Arabidopsis thaliana: one gene and its partners. The protein of the gene in region 1 interacts with the protein of each later gene in a pairwise test. Each region holds a gene or a part of one and is shown on either strand. Other genes may lie near its edges.

The links. Proteins that work in one complex are often made in the same cells at the same time.
Region 2: the proteins of AT1G15900 (region 1) and AT4G12000 interact in a protein complementation assay, tested with the Arabidopsis thaliana proteins (one large-scale study listed by BioGRID).
Region 3: the proteins of AT1G15900 (region 1) and AT5G40670 interact in a protein complementation assay, tested with the Arabidopsis thaliana proteins (one large-scale study listed by BioGRID).

What each region holds. Positions count from the first base shown.
Region 1 is NC_003070.9:5,461,891-5,466,550, reverse strand, and holds AT1G15900 (uncharacterized protein), read right to left. Parts: upstream 2,279-4,660; 5' UTR 2,196-2,278; coding exon 1,854-2,195; 3' UTR 1,604-1,853; downstream 1-1,603. Other genes in the region: FDM1 (XH/XS domain-containing protein), read right to left, coding at 1-600; AT1G15890 (Disease resistance protein (CC-NBS-LRR class) family), read right to left, coding at 2,590-4,660.
Region 2 is NC_003075.7:7,192,033-7,196,771, forward strand, and holds AT4G12000 (SNARE associated Golgi protein family), read right to left. Parts: upstream 3,185-4,739; 5' UTR 2,911-3,184; coding exon 2,632-2,910; intron 2,309-2,631; coding exon 2,072-2,308; intron 1,993-2,071; coding exon 1,775-1,992; intron 1,682-1,774; coding exon 1,495-1,681; 3' UTR 501-1,494; downstream 1-500. Other genes in the region: AT4G12005 (uncharacterized protein), read left to right, coding at 4,674-4,721.
Region 3 is NC_003076.8:16,283,869-16,288,447, reverse strand, and holds AT5G40670 (PQ-loop repeat family protein / transmembrane family protein), read right to left. Parts: upstream 2,738-4,579; 5' UTR 2,481-2,737; coding exon 2,362-2,480; intron 2,271-2,361; coding exon 2,138-2,270; intron 1,859-2,137; coding exon 1,769-1,858; intron 1,677-1,768; coding exon 1,552-1,676; intron 1,462-1,551; coding exon 1,419-1,461; intron 1,338-1,418; coding exon 1,220-1,337; intron 1,121-1,219; coding exon 1,071-1,120; intron 992-1,070; coding exon 857-991; 3' UTR 501-856; downstream 1-500. Other genes in the region: AT5G40660 (ATP12 protein-like protein), read left to right, coding at 3,287-3,703, 4,085-4,259, 4,331-4,579. UniProt on the Arabidopsis thaliana protein: Thought to transport cystine out of lysosomes.

The DNA of each region.
Region 1 (4,660 bases):
CTCCTTTTTGCTGGACCCTTGGGTCTCAAATTCTTTTTCAAGCTCTGTGGCACCAGCAAAGCCACTCCAGTCTCCGTTAAACTTAGCAATAACCCCAACAATCGAATCTTGTTCGACCCAAAAGGCATTCACCTCAATAGGCTTGAATTTGGAAAGGGTCTGCAGCCAATATGCTGAATCAAGTAGAAGTTCCTTGTCATCCGCTTCTTTCAAAGGGTTAACAACAATCCCCATCCATGGCCAGACATAGACGTTATGAGGGTTTGGTTCAGTCTCGTCTAACTGAGGAGGAACAACTGGAGGGCGTGGAACAGGTTCTGCATAACCAGCAAGCTCATTCTCTAAAAACATAGCTAAAGCAAGATGATTAGCCTTCTGTAAAGCACTTCTGGTGGCAGAACCTTTGGAAACCCCAGTAGCATGTGCATACAACTCCTTGTACTTGTAATCTTGCTTCTTCTTGCCTGCACAAAACGGGCATCTGAGCTGTCCATTCACCTTCACCTTGTAAGTCCCGTCGCGTAAAAGGCGGTAGGGTGTTTCAGAATAGTCCTCAATCTCTGACTCGCTGATCTCAGCCTCTTCATCAGAAATGCTCATCCTACCTGCTTTACCTGGAGAAAAGAATGATAACAAATGAAAAATAGCAACCAAGAGGATGATGCATTCACCAAACAAGCTAAATAGAATCTCTAAGAAATCGAAAAACTTTTTAGAGTTAAAATGAGTCTGTCACATCAGATAGTTCATGCAGCAAAGTTTAAAGCCCAAAAGAGACTCAATTTCTAGCAAACTGAGTCGATAGTATGGAAATCTTCAGAGCAAGAGAAACCCTAGGGAAGAACTTAAGGAAAAAATAAACTAGAGAAAGCAAAAGAGACGAAATTGATACAGCATTTACAAAACTCAGCTAAGAGATTCACGCATGTCGCATGCATGATAAGGAACATAGAGAAATCCAAAATATTTTCTTAAAGAAGAAGTGAGTAAAGGCATTGAAGCACGAAATGCCCAGAGAATAGAGAAAATCATTACTAGGGATTTCAATGAGAAAACAGAGAATAGAAGAAATCTGGAGCTTACGTTAGAGAGGGAAGGAAAGGGAAGACGGCGATGACCCAACGCTTGATGAAGAGTGGAGTATAGAGAGACAGTGAGGAGGATCCGAAGAAAATTTCTATGCCAATAAAACAAGAGTTAGGGAATAAAAAAAGCAATAAAGATGAAGAGGACTTGGAAATTGGAATTAATTTAAGAACAAAAAAAAAATGAATTAGGATTCAGAAAAAATAAATGCGCCAATAGAAGGAGAGTTAGGAAAAAGCAATATTAAAGATAACGACTAAAAACACATTGATGAAAGAAAAAGAAAAAGAAAAAAAATCATGTTTGACTCATGTTTGACCAAAATTCATTTTGGTCTTGGTCTTGGACATCATAATCTTTTCAATTTTGTTGGTTTTCAAATTTTGATGTGATGTTTCAAGCAGGCCAAATGTTTCTCTCCTTGATCTTCACAATGAATGAGCAAATGGCGAAAACGAATATTTGATATTGAGCCTAAACACTGAACTAATTCAAAATTTCAGATTTCATGAATCATATACTTTAGCAGCAATAATCTGAGTACAGTTTTATTCAAAACTGATTTACTTGAATCAACAATACTCTCATAAACTGTTTGTTGCATGTTTTCATTTCAACAAGTAAAATCAAAGGAGACTGATTACCAAAATTTTGTGATGATCAAACTTTTGATAAAAATTGCGAGATTATCCGTGGATACAACACTGACAAGCTTCAACGGAATATTTTCTACTGTGAATCGAATCGGCAGCAATAAGAAAGAAGATTCAAATCGGAAGGATGGGTCGGGTACGTGATCTTCGAGATTTCCAGAGGAGGAGAACCAAAGCAGCTATCACAACTCCAATGGCGTCCGCGACGGCGTCTCTAACGGAAGCACCTGCGGAAGGGAAGATACCAATTTGATCGGCAGCTTCTTTAGCCGCACCGGCGGCGAGTGAGAAAGCAGATCCGATCCAGATGGAGTGACGGCGTAGAAAGGAGTAGCGGGAGAAAGAGGCGAGAGTAGAGAAGATAAGAGAGATTGAGAAGCAGAATATTACATGGTATAGTTTGTCTCGAGCTAGCCAAGGATCTTCTCCATCGCCGCCATGAAATTGCGTCTCCATCTAGTGTTCTTACTGGAAGGCTAAAAACGGTTTTCCGCGTTACAAAGATTAGGAAACCTTTTAAAGTAATAAACTCAGAGAGATTAGAGTAAAGAGAGAATGATAACGCACTTGGAATTTTTTGAACTTATTAGACAAAAACAAAATACAAGTGAAAACTGAAAAAGGAAATAGTCTTTCAAAACTTTGAAAACAAGTTAATCGGGAACAAAAGCAGTGCACAAACAGAAACCAAATCAAGAAGTGAAAGGATATAGTCAAACAGAGAGTGTCAAATCAAGCAAGAATGAGGGAGATAGAAAAGCAGTACATCTGCGATCTGCGATAGCTTCATTCTCCAAAACTAGTACATAAGCCAGAAACCATCAGCTAGCACCGGAGCACCGTCCTCCCATTATTCATTGGCATGTCGCGGAAACTCAGTGGCAGCTTCCGGTAGCTTAAGGCAGCTTCGTACATCAAATTGTCTCAGGTTTGGAAGAGCCGGGGGATTCCAGCAGATTCTCTTTAACTCATCCAAACCCCTTACTTCAAGGAATTCCAGCTTCCCAAACGGAACAACGATATTTGGATGCACATTGGTAATACTCATTCCTTTCTCCTTGTTTATTATCTCTTCTATGGTTAATGACAGCGTCACAGATAGACGCCTGAGGTTTTGAGCAAACAACAGCCATGTTAAATCCCTTGGACCTTCCAAATTGAATATTTCAACAACAGAGAGGTGCTTAAAGCCAGGAGAACTTGTACATTTAAGCTCCCCTCTTCCTTTTCTTTCCCAATCTATCTTTATCTCTGAGATTTTGGAGCCCACGATTTCAAGGTGTTGAAGACCACCCAGAGCTACCGTGTTCAATATTATAACCGGTGCTGACATATTTCTGAGACATAAAGCTTGAATACTACTCACCAATCGGTCCACTCCTTGTATACTTTCCAAAATCAAGGCGTCCTTTATAGTTGCTGTTAAAACCTTCAAGTGCTCCAAGAGTAGTAACTCTTCCATTAAACTGCCATCAATACAAACACGAGAAGAAAACAATTTCAACACTTGCAGGTTTGGTAGGCTTGTAGCTATCCCAACAATACTTTCAAGTTCATCAGTAAACTCCAGATTCAAATGGATTAATTTCTTCAACTCCTTAAAACTAACTGGCAACCATTTTATCCCTGTTGTTGATAAGTTGATATATTGCAAGGAACCTAACTTAGAAATTGCTTCCGGCAAGCTAGAGAGACTCGAGTTCCTCGAAAGATCCAAGACCACGAGTGCTGGCATAAACCTAAAAAAGTCACATGATATATGCACCAACTTGTTATTCTGGAGTAATAGAGTTGAGAGGTTGGGAGAGTTGGAACTAGAAGATATATTTGCAATCTGATTGCACATCAAAGACATCCTTCTCAAACTTTCCCAATTGATGTCCTTTGGTATATGGCATAACTGCACACCGGGTTTCACACAAAGTGTTTCTTTCTGTTTTCCAAAGTTCGACGCTATCCAAAGAGCCATCTCGCGTATGACATCATGCATTTTCACTTTTGTTGTTAGTTCACCATCCATCAATAGATGTGCACGAACTAACGAGCCAATTATGTCATGACCTTTGTTGTTAGCTCCATCTTCATCTTCATTCCCATCTATAAATCCTTCACACATCCAATATTCTATCAACTCTTCCTTTCTTACTTCATAATCTTCCGGAAACAGGGAACAATAAAGGAAGCACAATTTGACTTTTTCATCTTTTAAATCATCATAACTGAACTTCAAAACAGGAAGAATTTTTTCTTCCATACTTGGGAACTCGTGGCTAGACGAGTTCAGAACATGAATCACATGCTGCCATTCCTGAACAGTCTCTCTAGATGCCATAGCTTTGCCAATGACACTGAGTGCAAGTGGCAAGCCACAACATTTTTCTGCTACTTTTCTTGCAAGTGTGGGAATATCCTCATGGCTCTGTAATGGGATTGGTCCAACTTTCTTTTGGAACAGTTCCCAGGCTTCATCCGGTGGCAAACAATCAACTTTCATCTCACCATCAACTTCCATATCTCTGCAAACATCTTTAGAACGAGTGGTGAAAACTATTTTGGATCCATTTTCTCGCGTTAGAGGTGGAACTCCAATCTTTTCTAAATCTACTTCGCTCCATAGATCATCCAATAACAGCACAAATTTCTTTACGTTGAGGATGTTGCATATGTAAGAGGCTTTCTCCTTTTCTGTAACTTGTTTCCATCCCCTGTGAAGACCTAGTCTTCCTAAAATCTGTTCTTGAATGCCTTCATTTTGCAAATCTTTAGAAACCACAACCCATATAACAAGATCAAATCCATTCATCCCTTCAAGGAATTTGTTGTTAATAGAAGCTAAGAGCGTGGTTTTACCTACTCCCCCCATACCATAAAGACCCAAAGTTCTTCGTTCATCTTTCATGAGGCTGTTCCATGCCCTTCCG
Region 2 (4,739 bases), on another chromosome or scaffold:
GATGACAAATTACCATTAATGAGCAATGGATTTTATTCGCATGAAAAAGACACATAGATAGACTGTTGAAAGTGGTACCGAGTCAGAAGCATATATAGTTTAATTCAAACCAGAATATTCAGAAAATGCAAACTACATTAAGTCTTGACATGTAACTTTTTTACTGCTGATTGAATACACATACTTTAATCTAAAAGAAATATTTAGAGAATAAGACAAATATTTAATTTTGTGGTTCATAGGTAGGACAAAATGTAAATGGCTTTACATATACTTTTAGACAAAAGTGTTTCAAAGGATATTGGGTTTTGGACCAAAAGCATTTTTGAAGGGAATTAAGACAACATTTATTTCGGGATGAGAGTAGTTGAACATATTTGTTGTGTTATAGGACTTAGGAGAGCTTCAAATGCACCAGTATAAAAATAAAAAAAAATAAAAAAACTGAATCAATTATTGATCGATTCTTGTAAGTATATCTTTAAAATTTGAAAAAGCTTATGTAGAAAATTGGTTTATATTTAGCTTCATATTTTAGAATTATATATATTTCACATAAAGTTATTTCAATTCCACTTTGTATCTTATGCAAGAGACAAATGACTCGCAGAAGCACTTCATTTTCTAGTGTGAATTTTCAAGCAGAATATAGATGTCCAAATCCGATACTAGAAAAACCGCAGCTTCAAATCCCCAAGAACTCTCCATATAGTTCTTCTCCTCTTATCTCTCGCACTCTTCACTTGGGCAGATTCACACTGGTTTCACAAACCGCAAAAAAAAAAAAATGGTAATTAAAACAGTCTTTGATTAATTTTAGTAGAAATCCATTTAACAAAAGATTCGATTTGGTCTAGAATAACTCCATTATTTCAAATTGAAAAAATATAGATCATACATATTGTGATGAATCATAGCTAAGGTTTCTTCTTCAATTCCACCATTTAATATGTCGAACGCATAGCAATGTCGTACTCGTAGGCTACAAATAACTCTTGACCATTATAGTTCGAAAAAGAGACGCATTTGATTTTGATAGAAACAATTAAATGGCCATCTAAGCTATATTGGGCTTTTTCTCAATGCAGCCCATAATATTCGAAGTGCAAGTTTTCACTAGTCACCTACGAATATCTGACACAACACTTGCACTATTTACCAATTAGACAATTTCCAATCTTCATAGTTAGTTCATACTTACTAGAGAATATAAACGAGAAAACGAAGGAGGAGTAATGATCTTAAGTTTTCAATTGATCCATTCTTTTCAAACATCAAAAAACAAAAGATTGAGAAAACGCAAATAAGATTAAATCGTGTTAGAGAGTTTAGTTAGTGTTTATATAGTCATTATAATTTCTTTTATACCCTTTCATTTCTCGGCTATAAACAAACCAAAACAGAGACCAAAAATCAAGAGTTCTTTCACATCATGGACGAAAACCTGTACTTTGGGAATAAGCAGAGACATAACTTCTGAGGTTGTTGTCTCCATTACTGTAACAACAAAGCTTCCTTCTCCTTCTTCATAACTTCAAGCTGTCTTTTCGCATACTTAGTGATGAGAACAGTTGTCACAACAGTTGCTACAAAACCAAAAATGTTGAGAACAATTTGAAGAATCGAGAGACCCTTTTGTTCCGCAGTGGATGCATCTGCCAATGTCCTTATAAGAATCCCTCTGCAAACACCAAAACAAACAAAAATACTATCAGGATGCTAAATCAATCATTCATTCATTACCAAGAAAATTGTAAGTCATTTCCACACTTACGTATAAATTGCGACAAAAATCTCCGGCGCCATGCCTACGAGAGAACCAGCCATGTAAGGACCGAACTTCACACGAGTTGCAACAGCGCAGTAATTATATACAGCAAAAGGAAATGGAGAAATCCGGATTAAGGTAACTGCACGAAACTGATGAAACCAACTGCCTCCACCAGCAGCTCTCAACATTGCAGCTTGATCTGGATATCTTTCTAACCAACCCTGCAACATTCATCAATTTCAGCAACATACAAAGTAGTCGTTACTAAGAATATAACTGGTTCTTAAGCGAGACACATACTTGAATTTTGTTGAGGAAGAGATAGCTGATGAAGTAAGGAAGTGAAACACCAATAGCTACAGCTGGAAGAGTAAGGAGAAGGCCATAGAAATAACCAAATGTAATCCCAGCCACCCACATTGACGGCGTAGTTGGAATAAGTATCACAGGGAATAAAGAGACTGATGCAAACACAAGAATACCGCACACAGGGTGTGTAAATGTCTCCATCTCCCATTTTATGAGTGGGATTAGCTCCTGCAAACAAAAGTTAAATGGATAATCCCATAATCAGCAACAGAGCCAAATATGTCACTGACTGAATTTGTCACCAGCATCGAAAATCTACCGATTTTAGACACAGAACATCAACAACGAAACCTCACTTTGGTTATTGGATACTGAGCTAATCGTAGGGATACATAGTTTCAATTCACATGAACCAAAATCATAAAGGAACCTCTTTTATACACTAAGGATCTAATTCAGTAGTTGAAACTATAATCAAACCCAATAGATAAAGAAGAAGACTTTCAGAAGAAGATCAATTCAACAAGAAATCATTGGAGGAAATTGAAAACCTTATCCATGATTAAAGGGTATAGCCATTTGTAACCAGCGAGACCCAAAGCAGTTAGAAAAGTGAAGAAAAGACCAAGCTTGATCCAAAACCAAACAGATCGTTTCTGTCCACATGAAGAAGAAGAAGACGGTGATGATGAAGATTCTTGTTCTGTTTCTTGTCGATGTACTTCGAAATCTTCAGTAAGTTTAACATAATGACCTAATTTATCAACTCCATCTTCTTCAACTCTAACTCGAAATTCAGAAACTGTATCGTCTTCTTCGTGATAAGTCATCGAGTAGAAAAAAAGAGAGCGCTAGATTAGTAATCGACTGGATTCTCCGATCGGATTCAGAGAGAAAAACCCAGTGATGGAAAAATTGAATGACTCAACGAATCGAAAGAAACCTGGGGATGAAGGAAGGATTGAGAATAACAAATAAAGAAGATTTGTGTGATTTTGGAGAAAGATGAGTTTTTTTCTTTTTTCGGTTTGTTTGTTAATGTCATGGCTTGACGCATGTACCCATTCTTTTAAATTATTTTCTTATTACTTTATGATTTCTTCCGTCGTTACTTGCATTTTTTTATATTTTTTATTCAGTTTACCAAAAATTCTAGGAAATATAAAATAGTTATTTCACGGTTGACGAAAAATAATAAAATATGTAGTTTGAAAACACCTGGACCATGTCGGCATAAAAGCGTGTGGATATTGTTAGAAAGAAAAAAAATAATAATTTAAGGCCCCTACCAAATTTTACATTGTAAGATTTTAAGGTCTCAAAATAATTAGGGACAAATATTTTGGTGTAGTTGTAAAATTTGTTTTGATTGGGAGGTGTATATTATAAAACCAGATTTTAAATCCGTAATATACCGCATGATAATTTTTTTTTCTAATATATATATATATATATAAAATATAAAATTTTAAATTATTTATCTTTATATAATATTTTTTTTGTTTTGTTTACGATTGTTATTAAGTAACATATACCACGAATTTAAGAACAATAATTAAAACTTGAGGATTTAATTCGTATTAAACCAGCATATTACTGATATTTTAAAAATTTATAAATATTGATTCAAACTCATCTACTATAATCCGTTCCACAATATAAACCGTCTTGTAATCTCTTAACTCATCTCATGTAATATTTAATAAAAATATTAAAATTAAAAATTATTTATTATATATAAGTTTTTAAATTATATCATTTTCTGAGATATTTATATTTTATAATTTAATTGTTACTAAAAACATTATATTACTATATATATTTTATTTTATATAATTTTTGTAAATCAGACTGATTTATATGTATAATATTGATAGTATCAAAAAATAATAAATTTAAAACTTAAACTATATTAAAACAATATATTAATGATATTTTAATTTTTTTATTAATATTATTTTTAAAATTCGTTCCGTTAAATTTGTCTCGATAAGAATTTATTTATTTTATTAATATTAATATTAATCTGAATTACTATTTAAATATTATAGTTAATGTAAAATATTAAATACATATATTTTTAAATTGAATAATATATGTTGGTTTCTTACTAGGCATTACTAGACATTCATCAACGAAGTGAGATGGTGGCCATACACGTGGCCACAAATAAGGAGGTTAGCTTGTCGCGGGTTTCCCACTTTTTGAGCTTTTATTTTAATTTTATTATACGTGTTTAATTTCACCGACCAATAATCCACTGTGGTCGACATTCCGTATTCTCCGTGGACCCGGTTTTCGCAATTTCCCAATTTCCTCAATTTCGATTTGTCTTTGTCACCACAATCTGACGACGCCATCGCCGCAATGCCTTCCACCACCGAAACGGCAACATTTCCGATATCTTTCCCGCGAGCTACTTTTCTACTGTTCCGAGATCGAATTTTCTTCTTCTCGACTCGTCACAAAAACGCCTATTCTCACTTTCACCGCTCTTGGATTTTAATGGATATCTCTTGAAACCTCTCCGGCCATCTTCTCTTCGGCCATACTCTGAAATTTGGATTCCAAATTTATCAAAATTATAAATTTGATGGAAAAAAACGTGAAACAAGATTCACAAAGTTTCAGAATCCACGAGGTTGGTTGATCCAAGCAA
Region 3 (4,579 bases), on another chromosome or scaffold:
AAAAGTTACTAAGATATATATAGAGGCTATCTTGCTTTTAATGATCTACAATGGTAGTCAAATGATATTAACCATCTTCCATAAAATACTATTGATAAATGTTTCAAAAACTTTGACTGTTTTGTTTAACTTTTCTACCATAAAAGAACTAATGAGTTTTACAGTTTTGACTGTTTTTTTTGGCAAACTTTTAATGAAGAATTATGAAGTTGACAAAAAAAAAGTTTGACTATCTTTTCAATTTCAAGTAAGTTACTTAGTTTTAAGTTATTTCCATGTTCCAAATGTATTATCAATGAACTTGAGAAATAAAGTTTGTCATGACAGAGTGATATACATATAGAAATTTCTGGTCATGATACGTATGGAAACAAGACAAGAAAGGATGGTGTTCACTGTTAATGGACTCCTATGGGGTACACTACAGCTCGCGATGCATCAAGTAGAAAACTGGAGATTAGAGAAGTGGGTAGAAAAAGCAGAGGACGCAAACGGAACCTTAGAGAAGACCCTATCGATATGCGCTGCCAAGAAGATGATGGTTCATGGTACCCCTCGAACCATAGTGACTTTGGTTGGATCTTGCATAGATATAACTCTTCTATGCTGTGCCTAAGACTACTAGTAGATGCACTACTATGGGTAATGGATCGTGCTCTATTAACTTTCATCTTGTTTCTTAAAATATAACCCAAGATCGAACATTGTATTATACATTTGCTGTTTCTGTGATAATTGATTTGATACATTAGACTGATATTACGACAATCTGAAGAGTTCTCACATTTGTACCTTTTTGTGATATAAACATATACAGTGGGAACGCTGAAACTAATGACTCTTGAGAATCTGATCTTTAAACATGTTCATGAGAAGAATCAATGAGTGGTTCGTTCGATTCCTCACCAGTTTCCGGAGATTTTGAGACTTTCTTCTCTGGGTATAACACATAGTGTTGAAACATGAAGAGGATGTCGAAAAATATTGATATCTGTTAAAAACAATTTGAGACGTTTATTAGAGACAGAGAGAGAATTGAACCAAAAAAAAAACTCCATCAATTTTCTTACAAGTGAGAGAAGAGTCTTTCCCATGTTCCCATAGAAATTCTTCCAAGAATCTGGAAGAACCAAAGGAAATAGATAGTTTTAGTTTTCTTTCAAAATGTTATTATCAGAGAAAACAAAAGCTATTGATGTGATAGAGAAGAGATTGTTACTTTGGTCAATAGATTGTATAACCATTTGCAGATAGTTAGCAAGTCCTCCAGTAAAATCGAGAAGAATATTCCCGATGCTCCACCCGACTGTGCTCTTCCTAGTGAAGTTCATCTTTGCCTGTGAAGCAAACACATAAAATCTGAGTAATGCTGATTCAATCAATAATGAAAAAAATTAAGGTTTGGAATCTTTTCTGACCTGTGGGATGTACTTGACGCATGTCATGAAGACCTGAATCGAACTATAACAATGAACAAATAAACCATTATCATCAAAACTGTTAGATTACCACTAAAAGAATTGGTTCAGAAGGCTTTGCGCAACAACTTACTTGAAGATTGAAATGAGCCATAGCCAAGAGTGTGTAGGTAATGCTATGAAGAAACAGATAGCTGCAAATCCCCACACAACAACCACAATACCTATAGCAAGTCTGGATACTTTTTGAGGTCCACGCTGAGAGCAAATCACTAGAAATCATCAGGAAAAAAAGAACACTTGTATGGGATAAAGAGACAAAGGCAAGCCTAAGAAACTTGATTACTCACTTCATAGATAAAGATCTGGAACAGTGTAACAGCTGTCATTACAACTGCATGGATCGAGAATGCAACATCATTTGCAGCCACAGGTATCATCTGAAATAAGCAACAATTATAACAAAACGACTCAAAAAAAATTAAACCAGCTCGAACAATCTAAAGCGTTTTTTTTTTGCTGAAACTTAGAAAGGAACAAACTTTTATCTTCAATTTTGACTTCATTAGCTAATAAGTAAAGGTAAACTTGTAACCATGAAGATAAGAGCCAACAAGAACCATCTTAGAATCCAAACAAAACTCATTTCTAGATTCCACAATCAAATTCATTAAATGCTTAATGCTTCAATGAATAACAGAGAGAAAGAGGAAACAAACCTCTTTATCGCCATAAGTGTCAAAGTACTGCTTTTGAATAACAGGACTAAAGTAGAGGCAGACATTGTAGATCATATACGACGAGTGCTTTGTCAAATTCAACATCACGAAGTCGAAGTTCAATCCAACAACACTTTCCCAAACACAACCAAGATTTCATCAATTTCAATTTCAACTACAGATATAGAAACAAAATCTCAAGAACAAAAGGTAGATTAGATTACCTTCTCCTACGGAAATTCAAAATCAGCTGTGGGTAAAAGCTAATTGACCACGAAGCAAACGCGATCCATCCAACGATTTCGTACGAGATCTCCAGCGGAATCGAATTCCACGACGCCATTTTCCTCGATCTCGATCGTCTGTTCGATTTCTCCAAATTTTGTTCTCGACGTTGACGGAGATTTTTGAAGAGCCTTAAAAAGAGCTAAAAGCAGAAAATATTATTGGGGAGTGAAATAAAACAGTTTCAAAAAATTATGGGTCTCATGATGAAGATGATGACGTGTCATGATCTGGGAGAGTCTAGTGATATAAGATTCCACGATCTTAGCGTGATGGGTGAAGCAGGTGATTTTAATGAGCCTTATCTCTGAATCTGGCGCTCTTTATGGTTACGTTCTTTCTTTAAAGTTTTGAAACCGGCGGCTAAAACGATGCCGTTTTGAGTTAAGTTTCAGCATTTTTGACTCGGATCATTTTTTTCTCGGGACTCGGATCACTTAATTAACAAAACTTTTGGATTTAGAGTAATAAAATTTACTTATTTGGGTAAGAATACTTTAGTTTATTTAATTTACGGATGAAACAATACATATCACATAATGAATTGGTGTAAGTGTAACTCTTGAAAATTATAGAAAAGTTTACAAACTAAATTTAGCCAATTTTTTTAAAAAAGATTGTCTATATAACCCAAATGATATTTGTCAAAAAATTCTTTACAAATATTATATTACAGAGCTGATTACAATGAGATAGAATAAAATTGTAATTATAATCACAATTATCAAAACACCTTCATTGTAGTAGAGGTTAACTATCACTCCGGGTTATTGCGACGTCGTTTAGGCTTGGATCTGACGATCTATGTGATCTAAAACCCTAAGCAAGGAGGTCCCCATTTTCGTCACCGGAGAGGGAGGATTAATGGCGGCGATGTTAATCGGAAGAGCTTTTAAGTCAGCGAGAAACTCTAATCTTGCTATTCGTGCTAGATCCTTATGTACGACATCTGCCGCTCGTCAACCCGATTCCGATACTCAGCCATCGGAATCTTCGTCGTCGTTCACATTCGAGAAGGAAAATGAGAAACCCATCTTAGTGAAAGCTCCGAACTCTCGCCGGAAAAACGAATCGGATTCAGTGACGATGCCGACGTCTTTCATGACTGGTTCGATCGTAGGGAAGAGGTTTTACAAGAAAGTGACGACTAGAGAAGCTGATGATGGAAATGGATGGACTGTGATGCTTGATTATAGAACCCTTAAAACCCCTTCGAAAAGACCTCTCAAGCTTCGTTCTTTGGCACTTGCTAAGGCCATTGCTGCTGAGTGGGAGTATCAGGTTTGTTCCATTTCACTAATTTGATCTGTTTTACTTCTAAAGTTTATTGCTTTAAGCTATTTAGCTATTGTTTTGTAGCTGATCAGTACTGGGTTTGATTTAAGTTAGCTAGAATCCTTGTAATTGGGTCTGCTCATTGCTTATTCAACTTAAAGCTGAGAGCTTACCGTTCTTTAGTGTCCCTAATGTTTGATCGGTTTCTGGACTTTGCAATCTGAGTTCTAATGTGATCAATAGGTTGATAATTCGATTAGTTGAAGTGAGATTTAAAGAACTAGGCTTGCAGTTCTCTAGCTCATTTTCTCTTGTGATCCTTTTGCATCTACTTATGTTTGTGTGGTAGCTGACTCGGTATCAATCAATACGATGATCTTGTGTTAGCTAACAGAAGGGATCAGACCATTCACAATGCCGCTTATGAGACTAGCATGTACTGCACTTGAAAGAGTTCCTCTTACGCGTTCAAAGATCATAGAACATTTATCGAGAAAGATACATCAAGATCTCGTCTTTTTCCGAGCACCTGAAGATAATGATCTAACTAGTGACGTCCATGGTAAAATACACTTTCTCTTCAATTTCAACTACCTCCTAGATTTTACACTTATTGAGTTGTGTCTTTTGCAGATATTCAGGTAGAGAGTATTGATCCTCTACTTGAGTGGATAGAGTCAGAGTTTCGGGTCAAACCGAAAGTGTATTCTAGCATCTTCGGGGGTAAACAAGACGACAAGCTAGTGAAAGCAGTAGAAGAACTGCTCAAGAAAACGAATGATGGTGAACTCGCAAGCATTGATGCACTCCAAGCATCAGCTCACTCTATAGTAATCGCCCTCGGTATCTTCTGTGGGAAACTCCAGATCGATGATGCAATCA